3 linked regions of the Notamacropus eugenii genome follow. The protein of the gene in region 1 purifies or fractionates together with the protein of each later gene. This does not show direct contact. Links are inferred from orthologs where the notes say so. Each region holds a gene or a part of one and is shown in the gene's direction. Other genes may lie near its edges. The genes, in order: WRAP53, RNF8 and MDC1.

What was found.
Region 2: the proteins of WRAP53 (region 1) and RNF8 purify together in Homo sapiens (affinity purification with western blotting; 3 studies listed by BioGRID). This does not show direct contact. The link is inferred for Notamacropus eugenii from reciprocal best matches to the Homo sapiens genes WRAP53 and RNF8.
Region 3: the proteins of WRAP53 (region 1) and MDC1 purify together in Homo sapiens (affinity purification with western blotting, with the first as the bait; 3 studies listed by BioGRID). This does not show direct contact. The link is inferred for Notamacropus eugenii from reciprocal best matches to the Homo sapiens genes WRAP53 and MDC1.

What each region holds. Positions count from the first base shown.
Region 1 is NC_092873.1:78,281,966-78,290,046, reverse strand, and holds the start of WRAP53 (telomerase Cajal body protein 1), read left to right. Parts: upstream 1-5,034; 5' UTR 5,035-5,256; exon of another isoform or gene 5,257-5,416; 5' UTR 5,417-5,524; coding exon 5,525-5,736; intron 5,737-5,888; coding exon 5,889-5,987; intron 5,988-6,250; coding exon 6,251-6,362; intron 6,363-8,081. UniProt on the Homo sapiens protein: RNA chaperone that plays a key role in telomere maintenance and RNA localization to Cajal bodies. Specifically recognizes and binds the Cajal body box (CAB box) present in both small Cajal body RNAs (scaRNAs) and telomerase RNA template component (TERC).
Region 2 is NC_092873.1:95,059,485-95,067,393, forward strand, and holds the start of RNF8 (E3 ubiquitin-protein ligase RNF8), read left to right. Parts: upstream 1-4,874; 5' UTR 4,875-5,066; coding exon 5,067-5,168; intron 5,169-7,909. UniProt on the Homo sapiens protein: E3 ubiquitin-protein ligase that plays a key role in DNA damage signaling via 2 distinct roles: by mediating the 'Lys-63'-linked ubiquitination of histones H2A and H2AX and promoting the recruitment of DNA repair proteins at double-strand breaks (DSBs) sites, and by catalyzing 'Lys-48'-linked ubiquitination to remove target proteins from DNA damage sites.
Region 3 is NC_092873.1:84,570,320-84,578,404, reverse strand, and holds the start of MDC1 (mediator of DNA damage checkpoint protein 1), read left to right. Parts: upstream 1-5,073; 5' UTR 5,074-5,237; exon of another isoform or gene 5,238-5,398; intron 5,399-5,776; 5' UTR 5,777-5,829; exon of another isoform or gene 5,830-5,832; intron 5,833-6,073; 5' UTR 6,074-6,076; coding exon 6,077-6,212; intron 6,213-6,696; coding exon 6,697-7,080; intron 7,081-7,162; coding exon 7,163-7,232; intron 7,233-7,438; coding exon 7,439-8,085. UniProt on the Homo sapiens protein: Histone reader protein required for checkpoint-mediated cell cycle arrest in response to DNA damage within both the S phase and G2/M phases of the cell cycle.

The sequences.
Region 1 (8,081 bases):
GTGATTTTCTCCAGCTTTGTTCAGTGGCACATAAGTGTGGGAGCAAAGGCAGTGGGTGGTATGAGTGATCCGAGGCTGAGGTTTGGGCAAGATGGGAAGTAGAAATGAGGACAGTATGGAGTTGAACTGGTTCAACAAGGGGTCAAAATGGAGAAGGAATAGCTAGTACAGGGGATGAGGGACTGGAGGTTATGGTGAGGAAAAACAAGGTTTGGGGTTTTAAGGCAGAGAAAGAGATAGAATGACAATGGTTTGTGAGCAGATAAGGGAATTTCAGAGTTCGTGAACATGAAAATGGTGTATTTATCAGTGCTGTCAATAGAGAAATGCAAATGAAAGAAACCACAAGGTTCCACCTCATACCAGTAGTATTGGCAAAGATGGAGAAAGAAGAAAATGACAAATGTTTGCAGGGACTTTTTGAAAGAACATATAGTTGATGGAGCTATAAATTGGTCTAGCCATAGTAGAAAGCAACTTAGAACTATTCTTCCAAAGTTACTAGCCTTTGACCCAGTAATACCACTACTCAGAATGTTGAAAACTGAAAATAAATCAATTTATATGAAAAAAATACCACTACTAGACTTTTGCCCTATGAGATCATAGACAAAAGGCAAAAAGCATATATATACATATATGTATACACATACATATATGCATATATATAAATATATAAATATTTATAGCAGCTCTTTTTGTACTAGCTAGAAACTAGAAACTCTGGGAGGACCCACCTATTGGGTAATGGCTAAAATGTATTATGGTACATGAGTGTAATGGAATATTTATTGCACCATAAGAAATGATTAAATGGACAATTTCAGAGGGAACGGATTATACTTCTGTGATCTGATGCAGAGTGAAATGAGCAGAAGTAGAGTACAATGTGCACAATGATAATGTTATAAAGAAAAACAACTCTGAAAGACTTTAGAACTCTTGTCAATGAAATGACAAATCACATTTCCTGAGGACCTAAGATGAAGCAAGCTTTGCACTTCTTGCCAGAGACATGATAGATTTTGAATCCAGAATGAGACATACATTTTTTTGGACGTGGCCAATATGAGAACTTGTTTTGCTTCATTATGCATATTTGTTATGTTTAGGAGGAACTGGAAGGGAGAAAAGTAGTTTCTTAAAATATGAGATAAAGCAAAACTTAAAAAAAGAAAGACAGGCAGGAGCCCTGGCAATTGTGGATTAATTACCCAATATGTGATTTTCTATTTCTTCTTAGCAGCAATGTGAAGGCACTGCCTAACCAAGAGAAATAATTAGGTCTGTACATTAATAATATCAATTCAGAAGCTGTGCTGATGATAGGTTCGGAGAGATGAGAGCCTGGATTCAGGGGGACCACTTAGGAGGCTCTTGATGGTCTAAGCAAGAGGTGATGAGAAACTGAACAAGAGTAGTTGTGGTAAGTGGAGAGAGGGGAATGGATATGAAACATACTGTAGGGTTAAAGTTGAAAAAAACTTGTGAAGGGATGAGTGAGAATGCATAGTCAGCAATCCTAAGTTGTAAACCTGGTGGAGTCCTCAACAGAAGTTAGGGGAAGGGGAAGGCTTAAGGGAAAAAAGATGAGTTCACTTTTGGATGTTCTGTTTGAAATGCTTATGGTACATCTTAGGTGGAGATGTTGAGCAGGTAGTTAGAGATGCAGGCCTGGGATTTAGGAGACAGATGGGACCTGGATATATAGATTTGATAGTCATCTGAATAGAGATAATAGTTGAACTCATAAGAACTAACAAGAATAAGAGAGAATATACAGAAAGGATGAGCAAGGGAGAGTCTTGAGGTATACCTGCATGTGAAGGGTGAAGCATGATCATATAAAGGAAACGGAGGAGGGAGCAGAGAACATCTAAAAGGAGGGACTGATCAACAGCCATGTCAAGAAGTATGAGAACTGAGAAAAAGTAGATTTAGGGACACAGTTATCATGAGTGATCTTGGAGAGAGTATATACAGTTGAGTTTAGAAGTCAGATCATAAAAGGGTGAAAAGTGAGTGGGGGGGTGTGTGTGATAAAATAGAAGCAATAGACAGCTTTTTCCAGGATCAGGTCCTTAAGCTTTTTTGCATCATGAACCCCTTCTTAAAATAGGGTTTATAAATGTATAAGATAAAATATATGGGATTACAATTGAAACCAATTCTGATGAAATACAGTTATCAAAATATTAAAAAAAATATAGACCCTCCCACCCCTAACCTTTGTTTACGAGTTTTACTTTCAAGGGTTACATTGAGGAGATTTGTAGGATCAAGTAAATGCTTCTTAAAGATAGGAGAGATCTGGACATGTCTGTAGGTAGGAGGGAAGAAACTAGTGGATAAAGAGAGATTGAGTCTGTAAGGAAGAGAACCTTACCCTGCCATGACCTCTACTTTTGTACTCTTGTTTATCCCCTTTCCTCTTCTTCTGTAATTTTACTCTTTAATCATTCCCCCTCTCTCTTCTTCAATCTTGAGTTATCAGGAGTCAATACTTCCTTCCCATTGCCTGCAAACATGAGCATGTATCTCTCTCATCATTAAAAAACAAACAAGGGCAGCTAGGTGGTACAGTGGATAGAGCACCAGTGCAGGAGTCAGGAGGACCTGAGTTCAAATCTCACTCAGACACTTGACACTCACTAGCTGTGTGACCTTGGGCAAATCACTTAATCCCAATTTCCTCATCCTGGGTCATCTCCAGTTATCCTGATGAATATCTGGTCACTGGATTCAGATGACTCTGGAGGAGAAGTGAGACTGGTGACCTGCACAGCCCTCCCTCCCTCAAAACAAAATCAAGGGCAAGTCATGTCATTACTTCTCTGGTGGCATGGTCTTCTTCAGCAACCAAGGACGAACAAACACTAAAAAACAAGCAACCCTTCACTTGACCCTATCATTATTATCCTGCCTTTATTTCTCCCTCCTTTCACAAAGTCCTACAAAAAATTTTCTACACTTGTTTTTCCCACTCCCTTGTTTCTTATTCACTTTTCATTCTGGATTTTGACCCTGATACTCGATTAAAAGTTTTTTCTGCAAGGTAAATTTCCATCTTACCACTAATAAAATCCCATGATCTTTTATCAGTCCTCATTCTACTGACCCTTTCTACAGCCTCTGACATTGTATAATCATACCCTCCAGAGCCTTAGCATTTCTGTGACTCTTCTGGGGCTCCTCCTACCTCTGATTGCTTCTTCTGTCCCCTCCTTTGCTGGATCATCATCAGAAGAAAGACCCTGGAAAGCTACTATGCCGTCTTAGAATCTGCTGACAACAAATTGTTATTTATCATTGATGGGAGGCACAACAGTTGGGGCTGGTGATTTTGAGATTAGGAAAGACATTTGAGCAGACCTCGAAAGAAGCTAAGGAAAGAGTGGGAGTGCAAATTCAGCAAAAACTGGAATGTTTACAGGTTCTAGAAGCATAAACTAAGGCTATAAAATTAGGTCAGAGCCAGACTGTGGAAGACTTTAAATTTGCATTCTATACTAGAAACTATAGGCCAGCGGTAAGGAACCTGCAGCCTCGAGACCACGTGTGGCCCTCTAAAGTCCTCAGATGCAGCCCTTTGACTGAATCCAAACTTCACAGAACAAATCCCTTTTAATAAAAGGATTTGTTCTGTTAAAACTGCAGGTTCTCCACTCCTGCTATAGGCAGTCAGTGAATGGGCACTCTAAATATGGGTATCCCTCAAGTCTCCATCCTGGGCCCTCTTCTCTCTCCCTATACACTGATGATTCAGTTAGTTCTTGTGGGTTCAATGATCATTTTTATACAGATGATTCCCAAGTCTATATGTGTGTATGTAACATGCACACACATAATACATCCTCTAGCCTTGACAAGTCTTCATTCTGATTGCCCCAGTATTATGTTCAATAAATTACTAGGTCTTGACATTCCTATTTTTAGGGCATATCTCCCATCTGTTCTTCTTTCTTCACTCATCCTTAACCATCCTAGTTATATTTTCCAATCACTCCTCACTTGAGTACTGAAATAACTTACCAGTGGGGTACCCTCACATCCATTCCATCCTCCACAAGCTGCCATAATGGTCTGCCTAGGACAAAGGCCTGACCACATCACTTTCTCCACCACAGACCTTCCAGTGACTCCTCAGCGTCTCTAGGGAAGACAACACTAAGCAACAGCCAGTGTTTTTAGCATTTGATATCTTCCATGATCTATCTGCTTTTTCCAGACATAACTAATGATAAGGCTTTAGCCTGAAAGGGCCAAGGTCTCCCTTGCATCCTGGGTCATCTCCAGGCATCCTGGTGACTATCTGGTCTTTGGATCCAGATGGCTCTGGAGGAGAAGTGAGGCTGGTGACCTGCGCAGCCCTCCCTCCCTCCAGTCAAGGTCAATGCAACTCATGTCATCACCTGGACGTCATGGTCCTCTTCCAGAACGAAGGACAAACGCAGCAGCATTTCTGTAAGCGCTTTAAGGCTTACAAAGCACTTTCCATGTTAGCTCATTTGGTCCATTTTACAGATGAGGAAACCGAGGCACAGAGAGGTGAGTGACTTGCCCAGGGTCCGCGGTACCATCCGGGTCAGCTCTTGCTCCACAGCAGCACCATCCGCTCCATTTGTTCCTTTTCTGACTGGCTCCCGCTCACATCCAACAGCATTCCGTCCCCTGCCCTCCTGCACCCATACACGCCGCATGTCAAGTCTGGACTTGACGGCCTCCTCCACTGCTTACAGTAACTGGAGGCGGGCCGTTCTCCTCCTCAGTCTCAGCCCTCCCCACCCACTGCCATGCGGCTGGCCTAAGTGTGTAGTCAGGGCGTCCCCTGGAGGTGAGAGGCGGGAGGGGGGCTGCGGAAGGGAGAGCGCCTTGCCTAACGTGACTAGGAACTACCACTCCCAGCAAGCAGCAGGGTGGCCGCGGAGGCGGAGGGGCGGGGGAAGTCCTGGGAGATCGATGGGGGTTGTAGTCCAGGCCTGTCTTACGGCCGTTCCGTAGCCCGCTCAACTAAGGACCAATCAGAAGGCCGGCGGAAATCTCGCCAGAGAAAGACGGCGTCTCTGGCTCGCGCCCCGCTACTCCGGGGGACCTGGCTGGCGGCCGCTGGGCTTGGGCTGCGCTGGGGAGCCGGGACCTGTGGCCCGACCAGCCCGTGGAGAGCAAGGCGCCCCTCGACTCCTGCGGGCCCCCCTCGGCCTCCTGTATTGCGCACCACAAAGCCGGCTCTAGCCGCCACTACTTTTGTGATCTTAGGCAAGTCCCTTCCCCCAGCAGGCCTCGCCTCGGAGCGTCCCGCGTCTCCCCTCGTGGGTTTGTTTGTGTGTGCGCGTGCGTGTGGGGGCGCGCGCCCGGTGCGGTGCACACAAACATTTAAGCGCCCCCCGCCGCCCACCTGGCCCATGTTTTTCCCTAGGTTTCCCAGGGCCCAATAACCATAACCACGGAGCCAGCACTCGCCCCCTGCTGCAGCGATGACGCCCCCCAGGCTGCGCCCGAGCCAGCGGAGCCCCCGACCCCTTCTATGGAGCTGGGGGAAGAGCGGGACCCTGAGACCCCTGCTCCTCCGGGACCGGACGCAGAAGCCCCTGTGGAGGAGGTGACTGCTGGAGAAGGGCAGGAGCCCGCCCCAACCGACGGCCTCCCCGAGGGTGAGGGGGCAGCCCCCGAATTCGCGCCTGGTGAGCCGGCGGAGGAAGTCCTGCAGGAGCCAGCCCCGGAGTGCGAGGAGTACTAGTAAGTGACTGGGAGGCGGGCTGCTCCCTTCGGGGAAGGCTTTGTTTCCCCTCCCAGCCCTGCTTCCTTCGGCAACTAAGTATCAGCGCGGCTGTCCTGCCCCTCCCCCTGGTCCTCCCGAAGCCTAGCGCCCACTCTTCATCTCCTTCCAGCTCCTGGAGCTACAATTTCTCCCAGCCCCCTCGCCTCCTCAATGGCTCCTGGTCAGAGTTCAGCTTGCAACCTGAGAACTTCCTAAAAGGCTGTAAATGGTAAGGATAATGGTGGGGGAGGAGAAGGAAGATTCTGGGTGAATTAGATGGCGGGGAGGGTACTGGATGAGAAAGGACAAGATTGTAGTGGCAGGGAGGTGTTGGATCTGGGCTGTCTTCTTTGAATTAAGTTGAACTGGGTCTTTATTGCTCAGTTCTCTCCCAGGACCCAGTGCCTGCCATTTCCTTCAGGGACTCAGGAGTTCCTACCTCCCCACTCACTCCGCTACCAGGCATCCAGCCTAAATCTCCTCTGCCTCCAGGGCCCCCGATGGCTCCTGCCTCTTGACCAACAGTGCCGACAACACCTTGCGGATTTATAACCTCCCGCCAGAGCTGTATAATGAGGAGGAAGAACTCGAGAATGCAGAAATGGTGAGTGTCGGAACCTGTACCTTTTCTTCAGTCACCCCTACGGAAGATGTTCCCTCCTGTCTTTTCTTCCTGATTGTAAATAGTAAGTTCTTTATATAAATCTGACCCACATCAAGTTTTTGAAGAGAAATGTTCCTTGGTCTCCCTGTGGCTTCTAGGATAAAATGCAAGTGTAGAACTTCCCACTATCTGGCCATAATTTATCTTTACAGACTTAGTTCCTATTATTCCTTTTGTACAACCTGTACACGGTCCAACCAGACTCTGTAGGTTTCTTCTAGGGCTGAAAAGCATTCCCACATTTTCCTTAGCTTCTCTCGAAGTCTGTTTGTGTTCTCTAAGCCTTTCCTAATACCACAGTTAAAATCTTCCTCCTATTATTTTCCCTGTGTCCCATATCCTTTGCTTCTTTAGAGTAAGGGAGGATTTTTTTTCCTTTGTATTCATTTGGCTCCTACAATATGTCAGGCAGTGTTCCAGTTGATAGTAGGACAAGAAAGAGTAAAACTACTTCTATCCTTCTCAAGGACCTTTCTCTTCTCTTAGGGAAAGTAAGACATACATAGAAAATTTATATATGCACACACGTACATATATATGCACATGTACACACATATATATACATACATGTGTGTGTATAAACTAATTTCTTCAGGCATTGGGGGTCAAGATAGGCTTCCTTTGAAGGAGGTGGCTTTTGAGCTGAGCTTTGAAAGAAGCCTGGCATGTATTTCCGTTGATGTTACCACTATCTTCCTAGTCCCCACTGTTCAAAGTCTTAGAATCATTAAGCTCCCTCGTAAGCACAGCATCTCTTCTGACTGGGATGCTTTATGTGGTTCCTAAGGTCTGTCTCTTTCTTGAGCTGGAACTTGACTCTAGATTGCCAGGGCTAGCCCTCTTCAGTCCATAGCTGGTTTCTCTCTTTTGCTTTGAGACCTGGATCAGTCACAAAGGTAGTTCTGGATATTAGTGACCACTTTTCTGAATCAGTTTCTGAAGTATTTCTCTTGTCACCTCAATTCTGTCTCAAACTCTTCTTGAACTGATTTTCCATTATCTGTTGGATGTCTCTCTGAACAAATTTCTTTGGCTTGTTGGAGCAGGGAAGAGAAAAAGTCCCTTCTCCCAAGAGGTGAATATCTAAATTCTTCCTTGATTGCTGGTTCCTGGCCTTGACTGCTGAACTCTTAAGCTGCTGGTTGTTTCCAGGGCTTAGCTATTTAAAGAACCTAGCCAGTTTTCAGCTCAGTGGAGTTACCTCATCTGATTTAGAGAGGTGTTCATATTTGGAAGAGGAATTGAGTGTTAACACCTTATTTCTTCTCTTCCCCCCGCCCCATGTCTTCACATCTGTGAACTCTTATCACTTGAACTACAGGCAAGGAGAACAAATTACATTCAGTTAATTACCAGATATTATTGATTTGATTTCCCTAATAGTCTGTCTCTTTCTTCCTTTCCACCTTCATTCTGGTTCAGGCTTTGATCAGCTCCAGCCTGGACTATTGTAATAAACTCTTACTGGTCTTCTTGCTTCCGTTCTTATTCCAAGTCAATTAATCCTTCACCCAGTTGCTGACAGTCTTTTGGGGTGTAGGGTTGTGATTGCAGTGTTTTTCAAGTGCACATGAGGACAACCCTACTAGGTAACCCCCACTCCTCTTCTCATCTTCAGAGGCAATCTGTGGGTGTGCTCTGGTATATTTTCACCAAATA
Region 2 (7,909 bases), about 17 Mb from region 1:
GATGGCTCAGGGAAGGAAGGAAAGAAGGAAGGAAGGAAGGAAGGAAGGAAGGAAGGAAGGAAGGAAGGAAGAAAGGAAGGAAGGAAGGAAGGAAGGAAGGAAGGAAGGAAGGAAGGAAGAAGGAAGGAAGGAAGAAGGAAGGGTCTGTTCCATATTGTCTTATTTGGTGATCTCATCAGCTTCCATGGGCTTTAGGTTACAGAATAAACTAGTGGCCTCACAAAGTCAACTCTTAATTTTATTTTTAACTCTTAAGGCACTGTTTGTATCCACATCACTAGGAGTATTCCAACTCCTCCTCCTTCTAGCTCTGTGTCCAGTAGAATGAAAGAAGTAGCCAAGTCAAAGTCAGTCTTGGAGAGCGTGTCAAGAGGCAAGATGTCTTCAAGTGAAAGATAAATTTCCGTAAGCATCAAAGACAGAGGAATGTCAAAGGAAGAGATGTAGGATCACAGAACCATAAATTTAGAGGTGGGTGGAAAGGACCTTGGAGATCATCCAATCTGATTCAGTCATTTTACAGAGGAGGAAACTGAGGTCCACAAAGAAAAGTGAAGTTCCAAGGCCATACAGGTATTAAATGGCAGAGTCTGGTTTTGAACTGGTGCTTTATTTCTATTAAACTGAGAGTGGAGGGTTGGGGGAAGAGAGGCAGCTTACAAATTTCAAGGGGAAGCTGCTTTCAATGATGATTCCCCTTTGCCCCAGCTCCTCCCCACCCCAGCTGATCCTGTGATGATCCAGGGCATGGGTTCCAAGGCAAGGCAATTCATCTGGTTTGGGGGAAAGCAATCCCTTTGCCAGATGGAGAGATTCTTGGGTAGACAAATGACCCTTGGGGTAAGTGAGAGATGATGGGATGCTCTGACTAAGAAGGAAGCAGGCAGATAAGGCCACCAACATTGGGAGGGGTTTGGAAAGAATCAACCCTCCCTGGAGGAAAGTTCACAGTCCTCCCCCAGGATGCTATGGGGGTCCAGCACCAGTTTCCCATTGTCTCTGATTTGGAGTGTTTCTAATCTAGATTTTCTTATGGGAGAAAAATATTTCCTCTCTGAGTTCATATGGTAGGTTACTGCTGCCAAATACTGTATATATTTACCCCAATGCAGAAATTTTAAAGGTAAAAAACCTAGGTTTTATTTATATGCTCAAGCACAGTATGCTTCAAAGAAAGACAAAACCTGAACCCCAACTAGACGTCTTACAAACCCTCTTATAGGTAAAATTATATCAGAGTGACAAGAGAAATAATGCTTTTACATATTGCAATCTTGTAAATTTCTTTTAGATCACATAAGTTAAACATAAGATAGATCCATCAGCTCATACTTTTTCCAATGTCATAAAAGTCAAACAAACTTGAATTATAATCTCTTAGTTCATGATCTCTCATCATCGCCTTAAGGAAATAAACTTTGTCAAACAGACTCTACAGGTAAACTAAGTGAGGTTACAGATTAAACTACATTTCTATTCACAAATAGGCAGATTTACATGTTGGCAAGGAGTCAGGAACAGCTGAGATTCTTCCATGGGCTTTTTATCTAAAGAATGTTTATGGCTTTAAGTAAATTTTCACATCTTATGGGATAGGTTGATATTAAGACAGGGTTTTAGTTAGCCAGAATTTGCAAAAAGGAATGGCCCTGAATCTCAAATAATAAAAGAAAATAAAAAATTTCTATAACAATCTCAAAATCAACCTGACCAAAAGTCAACTCACTTGCTTTCCAAACTTCTTTAGTTCTACTAAGGATGCTGCATCACCCTCCCAGGCGCTCAGGCTCAAAACTATAGAATCATCCCTGATACTATGCTCTTCTTACCCCCAACATCCAATCATTTCTCACATCCTGTCATTCTACCTATGCCACATTTCTTTCTTTCAACACTTTCTCCTCTGGACTGCTGTTATTAACCTGCTAATTTGCCTCCTCCCTGGTCATCTCTCTCCAATCCATTTTCCACAACCTGTCAAAATAATACTCATAAGATACAGGTCCGAGCAGATTGCTTCTCTGTTCAAAAAAAGTGAAGAAATAGCGATTCCCTGTTGCCCCTAGAATAAAATGCAAAGTGGTTAGCCTGATATTTAATGTCCTCCACAATCTGGCAACAACCTACCTTTTCAGCCTTATTTAACATTACTTTTCTTCACATAGTCTACCTTCTACCCAAACCGCACCTCTGGCTATTCCCCAAACTGAGTAGTCTTTGATTGCCTCTGAACCTTTCTCCTTAGAATCTAAGAAGGGGACCAAAACTGTCTCAGAAATAATGACTCAAACAACAAATGAACAAAGCATTTGATTAAACATTGCTGTGTGCAACACACTGTGCTAAGTGCGGGGGATTCTAATAGGAAAGTAAGACAGTCCCTGCTCTCAAGGAGCTCACGTTCAACTTGAAGAGACAACACTCATGGAAAGGTTCAACTCCAAGACAGATGGAAAAGACCCAGGATCCTTAGGGGGCAGTGGCAAAGCATATGGTTAGTTATGTTTCTTAATGTCATTTCCACTGATAAAATCTGTCAGTTTCTGATGCCAAACCATTTGACAATGACAAGGACTTTGGTGAGAAAAGCATCTTCAGTAGCCATGGCTGCAGCACCTGCAGGAGCAGTGAACAGGCTGTATCTTCACAGGGGCTGCTTCCCAGGATGATGGCTGGTCTGGAAGCATGGCTATTTTCAAGCTCTTGTATTCATCGTCCTAGGCTGTCTCTATCTGGGTCTGAGGGGAGGTGGTGGTCAAGATGGTGGTTCTGTTGAGTTGAGTGAGGCACATGATGGCCTCCTGTCTCTCAGGGTGCCTTGCTGTTTTATGAATGACATGAACTAATAAAACCAGCGTTAAACATTCTGTGTAAAAGCAAAGGAGACTAACCAAAAACGTCAAAGGGGTCTAACTTAGCAAAGTATGAAAAGATGCACCATATATGAGGTGTACCCAAGGCAGTGTGCTGGAGCCAGCTGGGAAAAGAAGAACCTATTATGGTCATCTAAATGCTCTGAAATCAACAAAGGCTTGAATTATTGTTTTGTTGATTGTCTAAAGTGATGGAGAAAATGTTAATAATGTAGATTAAACTTAAAAGTGTCTTGCATATTTTTTTTGGAAGAGCCAGTTAAACATTTAACAGCACACTCCTGCCAGGGGGCCCTTATCTCTGTTTCAATAAGGACAGAATAAGATTAAATGACGTTGAAAGAGGAGAAGCCAATGTGAAATACTCTATTTGCACAAACAGAAACCATCCCCAAATATAGATTACCTCCCTAAGCCTCACTTTGAAAAAGGAAAAAAAGTTATGCACTAAAAAAGATAAGCAATTTTAAGTCACAGGTTTTATATGTCCATTTTTTGGGGGGAGGAATAAAGTTTGGATCTATTGATTTAGAGCTGAAACAGATCTTGGAGATCATCTAACACAAACCCCTAATTTTACAGCTGAGCTCTACAATAAACATATGAAGCATGATAATGTCAGGATCCGCATGCCAAGACCAGCGCTCTCTTTTTGCTCCCCTCTCTTTACTCTTAGGAGACAACCTTGTTTTCCAGTGCTAAGGCCCAGCAAGCAAGCTGTGTCCTGAGCCTAGCATAACAACAATCCTTTCTGCTCACCCTCTGGATGAACACATCTGCAACAAAATTCCAGAACTGTTTCACACCAGCACAAGTTGGTACCTGAGCTCTAACAAACACCTGCAGGACTCATGTTCTAGTCAGGAAGCCCTGCTGCGAATCAAACGTGTCTCACTTTTGTAGTTACTCCTCAGTGTCCGGGCTCCAGCTCACTGCTTAACCACTACTATATCTATTGAGATTTGACCACACTAAGGTAGATTTTCTCTGTATCAGAGGAGGCCCCAGGCACCTGTGTCTAGTTTCCTTCTTCTAACAAAATAAAAAATGCTTTTCTGCTTTAACTACTGTTAGCTCTTTGGTCTTATTTTATTTTCCAGAGTTAACTATGGTTGGGATAACTTGTGTGAGCTCTTTGGTATTTTCGGAGTTAAAAGAGACTCTGATCATCTGTTTTCAGGGTTGAGAAGACTCATAAATTATTTAACTCCACTTAAAATGTATTGTGAAAGGTTTCTAATTTTTGTCTTTGAAATACTAGTTCCCAGTATATTAACACAAAGTAAGGGCTTAACTGATTCTTTTTGTTTTGGAATAAAATAACATCATTTTGGAAATAAAGTACAAGTACTTCCAAGTAGTGTATTTATTAAAAGTAAATACGTTAAGCCTACCAAACGCTCATAATTTTAAAAATAACTTTTGAATCAATACAATTCAAACGTCATGAACACAATAAGCACTTATATGAAATGTTTGTAAAGCGCTTTACAAAGTGCCTGGCACGCAGAAGGCGATTAATAAACGTTTGTTCCCTTTGCCCCTCTCCCCTCCCCCTCCCCCATTCATTGTCTGGGCCCAGCATGTCAGTTTCTCGCACCGCAATTAGGCATCCAGCGAATGTAACAATGTCTCAGCCGCAACTTTACTTTCTCCATAAAGCTGGGAGAACATCAGCGCGGCTCTGTGGCTCTGACTACAAGCAGAAGTTCACCGAGAACAGCCAGCTGGTGAGGAGACCCCGCCTCCCGACCCGGGACAACAGAGGACGAGAAGCCCCCACGGCTCCCCCGCCTCTCTCCCGTTTCCCTCCCCACCTCCTTAATGCCTCAAGGACGCATGCGCTAGTGCTTTCACGGGGCGGGGGTGGGGGAAGAGGAGCGTAAGGGAAGGATTGATACTTTCTCACGTGCCGCGACTGGGGCGGGGAGGGGCGGGAACGGGAGCCGGGGCCTTCGAGCGTCCGTGGAATCGATTGCAGTTGCGTAGGCCGGAAGCGTTGATTGCTTCGGTCTGTTACTTAGACATGGCTGCGGCGGCGGAGCCAGAGGTTCCAGGAGGCAGGCAGAGGAGGGACGGCCGGGCCCGGGGGCCCGGCAGGGGCCCTGCCCTGTGCTGACTGAGAGCGTGGCCGGGATTAGGTCCGGGTCCGAGACCGGAATCGGGCCTGGGTCTGTGCCGGCCTGGCCGGCCATGGGGGATCCCGGTGGCGGTGACTACGACGGCCGCCGAGCCTGGTGCCTGCGGCGGGTGGGGATAAACGCCCAGTGGCTGCTGCTCGAGGATCGCAGCGAGGTGAGGGGGGAGGGGCGGCCTGGCCGGGCCGAGGGAGGAGAATGAGGCCCCAGGACGGTGGGGTGGGAGATGAGGCCGCCCGGGGGGTGAACCCAGTGTGTCTGCCTCCGCAGGACCGGAGGGAGAGGGGGGGGGGGGGGGAGTGTGTGTCCTGCTGAAAGAGCAGAGGGGGAGAAGCGGGGCAAAAAATAAAAAAATCTGCCCTGCCGGGAGAAGGAAGGGAGGGGGTGGCCTTAGAGGAGTGAAATGAGAGGCAAGAAAATCAGTGCCTGTTTTATGATGAGCCTTTTCGACCCCCCACCCCAGTCTTAGATCCCTTCATAGTCAATCAGTAAACATTTATGAAGTGTCTACTATGTCCCGAGCATCGTGCTCTGCGCTGGGAAGCTCACAGTCTTAATGGAGACAACATGCAAACTTTAGACAGGATAAAAAGGAAATTGGCGGACTCCAGAATTAAGAGGGCTTGGGAAAGGATTCCTGTAGAAGATAGGAGTTTAGTTGGGACTTAAAGGAAGCTAGGAGGAGAATTCTAGGCCTGGGGAAGAGCCAGTGAAAAAGCCCTGGGTCCGGAGACTAGGTGTCTTTTTGGCAGAACAGAGTACAGTATCACTGGATCGAATTGTATGTGTGGGGGATTAGGGGGAAGAAGGGGGGGTGGTGGTAAAAAGAATAAAAAAGTGGGTGGTGGGGCTAGGGTGTGAAGGGCTTTGAAGACCAGAAGATTTAATATTTGAACCTGGAGATGATAGAGAGCCTCTGGAATTTATGGGGATGGGGGAGAACAAGGGGTGTGTTTACATGATCAGATCTATACCTTAGGAAGATCACTTTTGACAACTTAGTGGAAGATAGACTGAAAGGGGGAGACAACTTGTGGGAAAAAGATCAACGAGCGGACTATTGCCGTAGTCCTGATAGGAGGTGGTGAGAGTCTTGTACTATGACAGCGTCGTAGGAGAGAAGGGGAACAGATGGGAAAGATGTTGCAAAGGTGAGATCACTAGACCATGGCAACAGTTCAGATACCTTCTTACAAGGAAGTGACACTTCTGCTTGCCAAATATTACCCTTCTTGAGCCCTTTCCTTTTCACCTGGCCGGAGCTTGCCCCTCAGCAGTTTAGTCCATCTTTTATTCTCTTGGTGGATATTGGCCTCATCCACTGGCTCTTTCCTTTGTGCCTAAAAACATGCTCAGATGTTACACAGTCCTTCCCTTAACCCTGCTTTTTTACCCCCAGACACATACAACACTCTGTTTCTCTTTTTGTTGCCCAGCTCCTAGGAAAAACTCATTGCCTCACTAAAAGCTCAGTACCTCACTTCTCAAATCGCTTCTCTTTGGTTCCTGACGTTGCCATTCTGCTCAAACTGCTAAACAAATAACCTTTTTTAACTGTTAAGTCTGATGGCCTCTTCTAAGGCTTCTTTCTTGAATTTTCTTCATTTTTTCACGTTGTCAGCCACCTCTTTTCTTGGATATTCCTTCATCCTCTGGTTTCCTTGATGGTTCTCCCTATTCTTTCTTTTTCTACCTAGACCTTTGAGTCTGCTTCCCTTGTTTGGCTCCCTTCTATTACCTTTGGTGATCTCATTTGTTTCTGTGGATTTAAATATATCTATGACTCAGCATTTTTGTTTTTGGATTAAACCTATGATTTTATTAGCATAAGAAGCTCTCCTCAAGAAACTCCCTCTACCAGTGCAGGTGGGTAGGTGCTGAGAAGTGATTTGCTCCGCTCACACACCCAGTATTTAGGAGATTGAAGAGGAAATTGAACCCAGGTCTTACAGATTCTCAAGCCCATTTCCTATCCATTGTGCTAATGAACTCAAACTATATATTTTTTGTAAACCTCTACTGGAAAGGGATTTTTAGCACCCCTATATTTGTGTATTTATAAATTATTTGCATACTACTGTATGCATATAGACATATTATAAAACATACAAAACATAAAAAAATGAGATAGATGAAATAAACAATTTTTCAAATTTTTATTTAACAATACATTTTGGTTAAACAGATTGTGATACAGGGGCCTAGTGCTAATTGTGGTGTATCTTGATACTTTATCTTAATGATTGGCATAGCTGAAAAAGATAACCTCATATAAAGATATTGTCGATCCGAATGGAAGAAATGCTTCATTTGGTTATGTTTGCTAAATCAAGAAACACAGTTTCCAAACCCAGCCACGACAATTATTCATAAGTTTTTGTTGAATTTGTTTTATTAATAACTTCCATCTTCCCTGGTGTCAATTCTTACAAACTATTCAGAAGATAGTACCTTTCTTTTTTTTTTTTAACAAATGAGTTGAAAACCTTTTGAAACTTTTAATTTGCTAGATTTCTAAATAGGCTGTAAAATTTGCAAATTTAAGTGTGCAGATAGTTTTTATAAGTGACATACATTGTTTCTGGCAACAGAAGCTTAGTTTTAAAGGTCATTCTAATAATACTAACTTCATGCTGTGATTAGCTAATATCTCAAAGCACAATATAAACTTAGGGTGAAGTTGTTCATTAATAAAAGATAAATAAAAATAAAGCCACATTTGCTTAATCATAGGTTTGTGGATTTAGAACTAGAAAGGTGAGTTATCAAGTCCAACCCTCTCACTTTACAGATAAGGAAACTGAGGTCCAAAGAAATTAAGTGGTTCACACAACTAATGTGTATTGGAGGAGGAATAATTTTTTATATTTTTGGTTGAATTTTATCATATCTGATTAG
Region 3 (8,085 bases), about 6.3 Mb from region 1:
TACTATATATAGTATTCACATAATATTTTATTTTTGAATAATAACACAAAGAACAGTAAGTCATATATATACATATGTGTGTATGCATGTATTTACATATACATATATTATTTTGAAGGTAGGTATTTCAGGTTTTATGCCCATTTAGAGAACTGGGATTGGACCTGTGGTTTCTTTTGTACAGTGAATTTCTTCCACTAGTAAAAATCTATACTTCTCTGCAACTTGTAGTTTTAAGAGAATTACCTAGGGCACTGAGAAGTTGTCAGGCCTGCACAACCAGCCCTGGGAGCTAACGACCCTCAGACTGATTATAGCATGCCAAAGGATTTGGGGGAAAGGGGGGGGGGGAACCTACAAAAAAATGTACAGGAAAACATCCTTTGTATGTAGAAGAAATCCTTGCCACAAGTTGTTCAGGCCTGAGTTAAGTGGCTTTATAATAGTCTGTAAGATCTGCATTCCCTATTCTATTTTAAAAGATGTTTTATTATGTTTTGTTTTTTTACACTTTATCACTTCCCAATAATCCTTCTTAGTATAATATTCCATTACATTTGTATGCCACAATTTGTTCAGCAACTCTCCAGTCAATAAATTACTTTTAAAATTACAAGCATTTTTTTCTGTTGTTTCTATTCCCACTGAATAGGGAATATTCTGAAAAAAGAAAAAAATATTCTGAAAAAAAGAAAAAAAATCCTTGTAACAAATATGAATAGTAAAATAAATTCCTACATTGGCAATGTTTTAATATGTATGTCTTATTCTGCATATTTGGTCCATTCCGAGTAACATTCTTCACCAACAGTCTTTTAGAATCATAATTGGTCATTGTGTTGGTCAGAATTCTTATGTATTTCCAATGTGTTTATTTTTACACTGTTGTTATGGTACAAATTGTTCTTCTTGTTCATTTAAGATCAGCTGATAAAAGTCTCCAGAACTGTCCATTTTATCATTTCTTACAGCAGAATAGTATTCCATTATATTTGCATACCAAAATTAGTTTAGCCATTCCCCTAGTAGATAGTTCCCCCTTACTTTCCAATTTTTTGTTACCTCAGAAAGATCTGTTACAAATGTTTTTCCCATTAACCCATTTTCATATGGGTTCTTTCCCTCTCTCTTCATAGTAAGTTGTATGGCTGGGTCAAATCATGTGCACAATTTAGTAACTTTTGGGGGGCATACTTCCAAATTGCTTTTCAGAGTGGCTGGACCAATTAAAAAACTCCACAAACAATGCATATATCTGTTTTCCCTGAGCTCCTACAACATTTACCGTTTTCCTTTTTTGTCACCTTTGATGATCTGATGATTTGGAACATTTTTAAAATATGGCTATTGATAACTTGTATTTTTTCCTGTGAGACTTCCTTGTTCATATCCTTTGTCATTTGGGGAATGACTAATTCTTCCAATCAATTTCTTATATATCCAGAAAATGAGACAATTATTAGAGAAACTTACTGCAAAACTTAACTATCTCTCTGTTAAGCTTAGCTACATTGATTGTGTTTGTGCAAAACTTTTAATTTTACATAGTCAAAATTGTCCATTTTATCTTATGTAATCCTTTGGTCACAGACTTTTCCCCTATCCAGATAAGAAAGGTAATTTCTTCCTTTCTCCTTCATTTTATTTATGTGACCTTTTAAATCTAAGTCATATAACCATTCGGATCTTATCTTGGTAAATAATGTGAGGTGTTGGTCTAAATCAGACTACTTTCCAGTTTTACTAGCAGTTTTTGTCAAACAGTGAATCTCTTCCTCAATAGTTGGGGTCATTTGACGTAATCACCCTGGTGAAGTCCTTCCTCACTTCAGATCTAGACTATTTCTATAGCCTGCTGGTTGGTCTCCCTGCCTTTCCCCACTCCACTCCATCCTTCATTCAGCAGTCAAATTGATATTCCTAAAGGGCAGATTTGACCATTTCATCTCCCTATTCAATAAACTCCACTGGCTCCCTAATACCCAAGATCAGATATAAAATCTGTTTGGCTTTTAAAGCCCTTTGTAATTTGGTTTTTTCTACCTTTCTTGTTTTCTCACGCCTTATTCCTCTACACATACTTGGCAGTCCTGTGACATTGGCCTCCTTGCTGTTGTTCCGAGACAATCCATCTCCTGACTCTAGGCATTTTCATTGCCTGTTTCCCAAGCCTAGAATGCTCTCCCTCCTTACAGCCACCTCATAGTTTCCGTAGCTTCTTTCAAATTTCAGTTAAAATCCCACCTTCTGCAATAACTCTTTCCCAAACCTCCATTCTCTTTGTGCCTTCCCTTTAAGGTTATGCCCAATTTATCATATATATATATATATATATCATTATATATTATTATATTATAGTATAGTATACATTATAGTATATATTTAATAATATATTATATTATATATTATAATATATTATATATATATCATGTTTATACACAATTATTTGCATGTTATTTCCTTCCCCCCCCCACCATTAATATGTGAGCTTCTTGAGAGCAGGGCCCAGTTTTGTTTGTCTGTGGACTTTTTTGGATCCCTAGGGCTTAGCACAATTCCTGACATATAATAGACACATAATTAACAAATACTAGTTGATGGGAAAAAAAAAACTTTATAGCAAGTTTCTTTGATAAAGGCCTCACTTCTCAAATATGTAATGAACTAAATCAAATTTATATATTAAAAAAGAGCTATTCCCTAACTGATATGGTCAAAGAATATGAACAGGCAGTTTTCAGAAGAAGAAATCAAAGCTATCAATAGTCACATTAAAAATTCTCTAAAGCCTTATTGATTAGAGAAATGCATATTAAAACAACTCTGAGATACCACCTCATACCTGTCAGATTGGCTAACATGACAAAAAGAAAAATGACAAATGCTAAAGGGGATGTGGAAAAAAATGGGACTATTGATGATACTGTTGATGAACAATAATGAATTGTTGATGGTATTGAAAACTAGTCCAACCATTCTGGAAAACAATTTGGAACTACATCCAAAGTTCTATAAAAGTGTGTGTACCCTTTGACCCACCAATACCACTACTAGATCTATATTGGAAAGACATGAAAGGGAAAGGGACCTGTTTGTATATAAATATTTGTAGGAGCTCTTTTTGTGGTGGCAAAGGTAACCGAAAATTACCACACCAGTAAGTTGTGGTATATGATTGTAATGGACTAATATTGTGCAATGAGAAATCTTGAAGGGGATGGTTTCACAAAAACGTGGAAGACTTATATGAACTGATACAAAATGAAGTGAGCAGAACTAGGAGAGCATAATACACAGTAACAGTAATATTGTAAGGATGAGCAATTGTGAAAGACAGCTATTCTGATCAAGACAATGAGCCAAGACAATTCCAAAGGACCCAGATGAAAAAATGCTATCCATCTCCAGAGAGAGAGAACTAATTACCTCTGAATGCATATTGAAGCATCCTTTAAAAAAAAAGACTTTATTTTTAATGTTTTGCTTTCTTTTGTAACATGGCTATTATGGAAATATCAAATTGCTTGCCTTCTAAAGAATGGGGGAGGGGTGGGAGGAAGGGAAGGAATTTAGAAGTCAAAATTTTTTTAAATGACTGTTAAAAAAATTTTTTTACATATAATTGGGAAATATTTAACAAAACACAAATAATTGTTAAAAATAAACAAATGCCAGTTGACTGATGAGTTTATGGAACATTAAGGCTACTATATTGTTTGCTTTTGTATGTTGTTTACCTAATCTGTTTCATGTTTTTTTACTTTTTTTTTGGAAGGGGGAAGGCAAGGCAATTGGGGTTAAGTGACTTGCCCAAGGTCACAGGGTAAGGGCATGAGGTCGAATTTGAACTCAGTCCTCCTGACTCCAGGTTCGGTACTCTTCATAGCGATATTCACCTAGCTACCCTTTTCTGTTTTATCTTTTAACCAGTACTAAGTCAACTTGATGATGATTATTTTTGTAATAAAGCTTGAGATCTGGTACCCCTCCCTTCTCACTTTTTCCTTATTTCCCTCAAGATTCTTAAACCTTTCTCTAGATGAATTTTCTCATTTTTTTCCATCTCTAATTATTTGGTAGCTTGATTAACATGGAACTGAATAAATAAATTTAGATCACTGTTATTTTTATAATATTGGCTTTGCCTATCCACAAATAATATTTCTCCAATTATTTAGATGTCTATTTTCAGAAGGTGTTTTATATTCATATAGTACCTGTATTTTGTACATTCTGTAGTTTTTTTAATAGACTGTACAGAAGTACTCATGTGAATTTATTTCTAACCTGCACCTTTGCTCAAGTTATATTCACTGTTAGCACCCATTTTGCTTTCAGTTTTTACTTCCTTCCCCAAAGGGCTCAGAATATTTTGGCAAATATGAGTCCTTTCTGTTTTTAATGTCCTTGGAGTAGAAACAACAAAAGAATTTTTTACTGTGCTTGACATCTCACTGCCCTTCCAGCACTGACTGTTATCCAAAATGCTGAGTCTGAGGCGAAACTTTTTTTTAAATTTAATTATTATTCATGGTTACACCGTTTTACACATTTGGGATAATTCCCTACTACTGCTGGGTGCATAAAACGTTCGTGCTGGTTGTAACGATTTTCCCCCAAAACCTATAACTCCTCCTATCAGCTGCACTTACTTAGTTCTTGCAAAAACTGTTAAATTTGATGTATCGAAATTATTTCTGTCTTTTGTCATCTCACACTCTCTAACCCCTGTCTGGTTATGCATTGTCCCCTTCCATTTTCTCATGAGTCAGCAGGAGCCATGTCTGGGAGGACCAGGAATGGCTGTTCCGGTCCCTTCTGACGGGGTGATGGGCGGTTTCCATCCTTTCCACGCAGCCGCAGTCAGCCGGCGCCACACTCAGGGGTTACAAGGTGGATACTGCGCGGGAGCGGCAGCGGCGGGCGGAGGTTAACCTTCGAATCCTAGCGCTTATTACCAATCTGAGAGTGCCGTTGGAGGCGCGCGAGGTGGCCCCACCTCCACCGTCAACCGAAGCCAATGGGAAAGCGAGGCGCTGCAGCGGCCTCTTCCCCAAGTGAAAGGCAAGAGGCGTTTTGCCTGGACATGTCCCAACTCCTGCCGGTAGGCTCGACCAATCATTGTGAGAATCGTCCTTGAGGGACGGTGGAAGGAACCAATCAGAGCGTCAGCGGTCGTGGGCGCCTCACTCTTTGCTTGTTTGGGTGGCGCGCGCGCGCGCGCGGACCCGAATCCTGTGAGTTCGGGGGCTCTTAACTACCGGTCTTGATTGGGCGCCATTTTGGATCCCCTCTATTGAGGGAGGCGAAGTGGCCATTAGGTTGGGAAAATCTGGGCGGGAACTATTCGGAGGTTTGCTTCCTGGGATTGCTGGCGCCCTTACTCTAATGGGTATAGGTCCGAGTGCCCTGGGCCTCGCTGTAGGATCTCGGGAAATCCGATGGTTTGGGTCACCCAGGGAATGGGGGGTCCGGGTGACAAGCGGCCCTGGGGGATGTGAGGACGGGAGGCCGTAATTTCCTTCGAGTCGCTCGTGGCCGAGACTCGGCCCAGGGAGAGGGTGTGGCCCAGGTGGGCGGGTGACGGACGGCCCTAGGTTCCACCCCCACCCTCCACCCTTCCACCCAGGTTCCCACCGAGTGAGGATAGGGGGTCAACTCCAGCACCTCAGAATTGGGGTTGCCCCTCCCCCTTTCTTTAAGAGGTGAAAGGGGATGTTCAGGATTGGTTTTAGTTCAAGCCCGTTGTTTTTTGGTTTTTTTTGTTTTTTTACAGATGAGGAAGTTTAAGACCCAGAGAACTTTAGTGACTTGATCAAGGTTACACAGGTTGTAAGTAGCAGTCAGAATCGAATTCCCTTGCCCCACCCGCCCCACCCCCTCCACGCGTCTCTCTTCCGTTACCTTGGCCTAGATCTCCTAAGGGCGGAATCCTTGGTGCGATAGGTTTTCCCAAATGCCCCATTGCTGCCCTGGCCACTCTCCCCACCCGTGCCCTGCTGTCTAGTGCTAGATTGATTATTCGATGTCTGATAGTGGTAGCGTGTTTTCCCCTCCCCTTTCCGCATCCCAGATAATGGAGGACACACAGTTGGTGGACTGGGAGGCTCAGGAGGAGGAGCCTGAGGATTCTAATAGCTCTCCGCCACGTTTCGGCCTGGAGCCTGTAGGGCGGCTGCACCTGTTCAGCACTGTTCGAGGACCTGAGAAAGGTCAGAGGGTATTGGGTACTAAGGGGGGCGGGGTGCAGACTTTGTTTTCATGATTGATAAAAGGCAAAAGAGAATGTGGGGCCTGTTCATGTGGCAGGGGAGATGGAGAGGGAAAATTTCTCCTGGTTTAATCTGATTCTTTGCAGGATAATTTATAACTAACCTTGATACATTTGGGGAATATTTCCTTTGGTGATGACTTAGGAGAATCAGGCTAAAATAAACAGGAGGAGGTAAACTAAAATAATGATCTGCAATGGCTTATGCTTTTCTGATGCTTCTGTCCCTTTTACCCCCCTACCCCATACATTGTGAATCCTATATCTTTCTTATAGAAAATCCTATAGATTTTCCTCTATTTTTTTCTTAAAGAGAATGAAAATGTATGATGAGGGAAGCCAAAGGAAAAAAAAGTCACTGAAGAGCAGGAATGGGGCAGATCTCTGGCTTTACAAGTAATACCTCATTGAATTTCTGCCCCCAGATTTCCTGCTGTACCCTGGGGAGAATGTGGTTGGCAGAATACCTGGCTGTACTGTGGCTCTGCCTTTTCCGTCCATCTCCAAACAGCATGCAATAATTGACATTCCAGCCCAAGGCAGGGCACCTATCCTTCGAGATTGTGGGAGCCTCAATCATACACGACTTCTGAGACCTCCCAAACTCCTAAGCCCTGGAGTGGGCCATCAGTTGAGGGACCAAGACTTGGTACTCTTTGCTGACCTGCCTTGCCAATATCACCGTCTGAGTGCCCCTCCACTTCCTGGCCCCCGGGGGGCTCTAAGTGTGGAAGAGACACCTAAGGTTCCAGGTATGGGGGGACCCCAATTCCAGGGGATCTTATTGGCTGAAGATTCAGAGGAGGAAGGTAAATTTTAGGTATCAGGAAGTGGTGGGTAGGGAGAAGAGCCTGGGAAATATGAAATTACAAAGTCCATTCTTCTCCCCAGATTCTCCTTTGGACGGGAGTGTCAAGGTACCTGTCACATACTCCCCGTCCGAAACTGTAGTACCAGAGAGGTGAGTACTATGGGGCCAGACAACTGAATTTTGTAAAGGGAAGAAGGAAGCTACAGGAGGGAGAACCAAGGGCATAGTAGCTAGTCCTTTAATAATAGTTATTTGAGGTGGGAAGGGAAGAGAACTAGGAACTAAAGTTTTGAGTGCCTGAGTCCTTTCTTGGGATCTGAATTCCAAGTTCTCTATCTTTTCTCTTTTCCCATCAGTGATGTGGAGGGAGCTTCACCAGGCACCAAGAACCCTGCACTGCCTCTTACTTTCATTCTGGATAGTGACACAGATGAAGAGGAAGATCCTCCCCCGAGAGAGCCCTCCTTAGCTACCAGGAGAGGCTCTACTATAGATAAAGAGTGGAGTAAGACTGGTGGAGAGAACCACCCCTTAGGTGTGAGAAAGGATAGTGATACAGATGTGGAAAGAAAAGAGGGCATCATGGCAGTTGTCTCTGAGGCACATCTGAAGGAGAACTTGCCCACTGACAGGGACAGTGATACAGATGTTGATGATGAGGGCAATCTCCAAAGGACTTCAGCTGTGGCACCTTTGGTAGATAGCGGTACAGACTTGAAAGAGGAAGGTCTCTCAGTGAGTCCAGCTAAACCACACTTGAAAATGTGCCAACCTGATAGGGGGGACAGTGATACAGATATAGAAGAGGACTCTATCCCAGCAGCGCCATCTGTAGTCTGTCTGGGAAAAGATCAGGTACCCATAGATGGGACAAACAGTACAGATATAAAAAAGGAGGGGGCCCCAACAGAACTCTCCACAGTACATCTTGAGAAGGACCAGCACCCCATTGGTGGAGATGGGGACAGTGATACAGATGTGGATGACAATGGATCTCTGACAT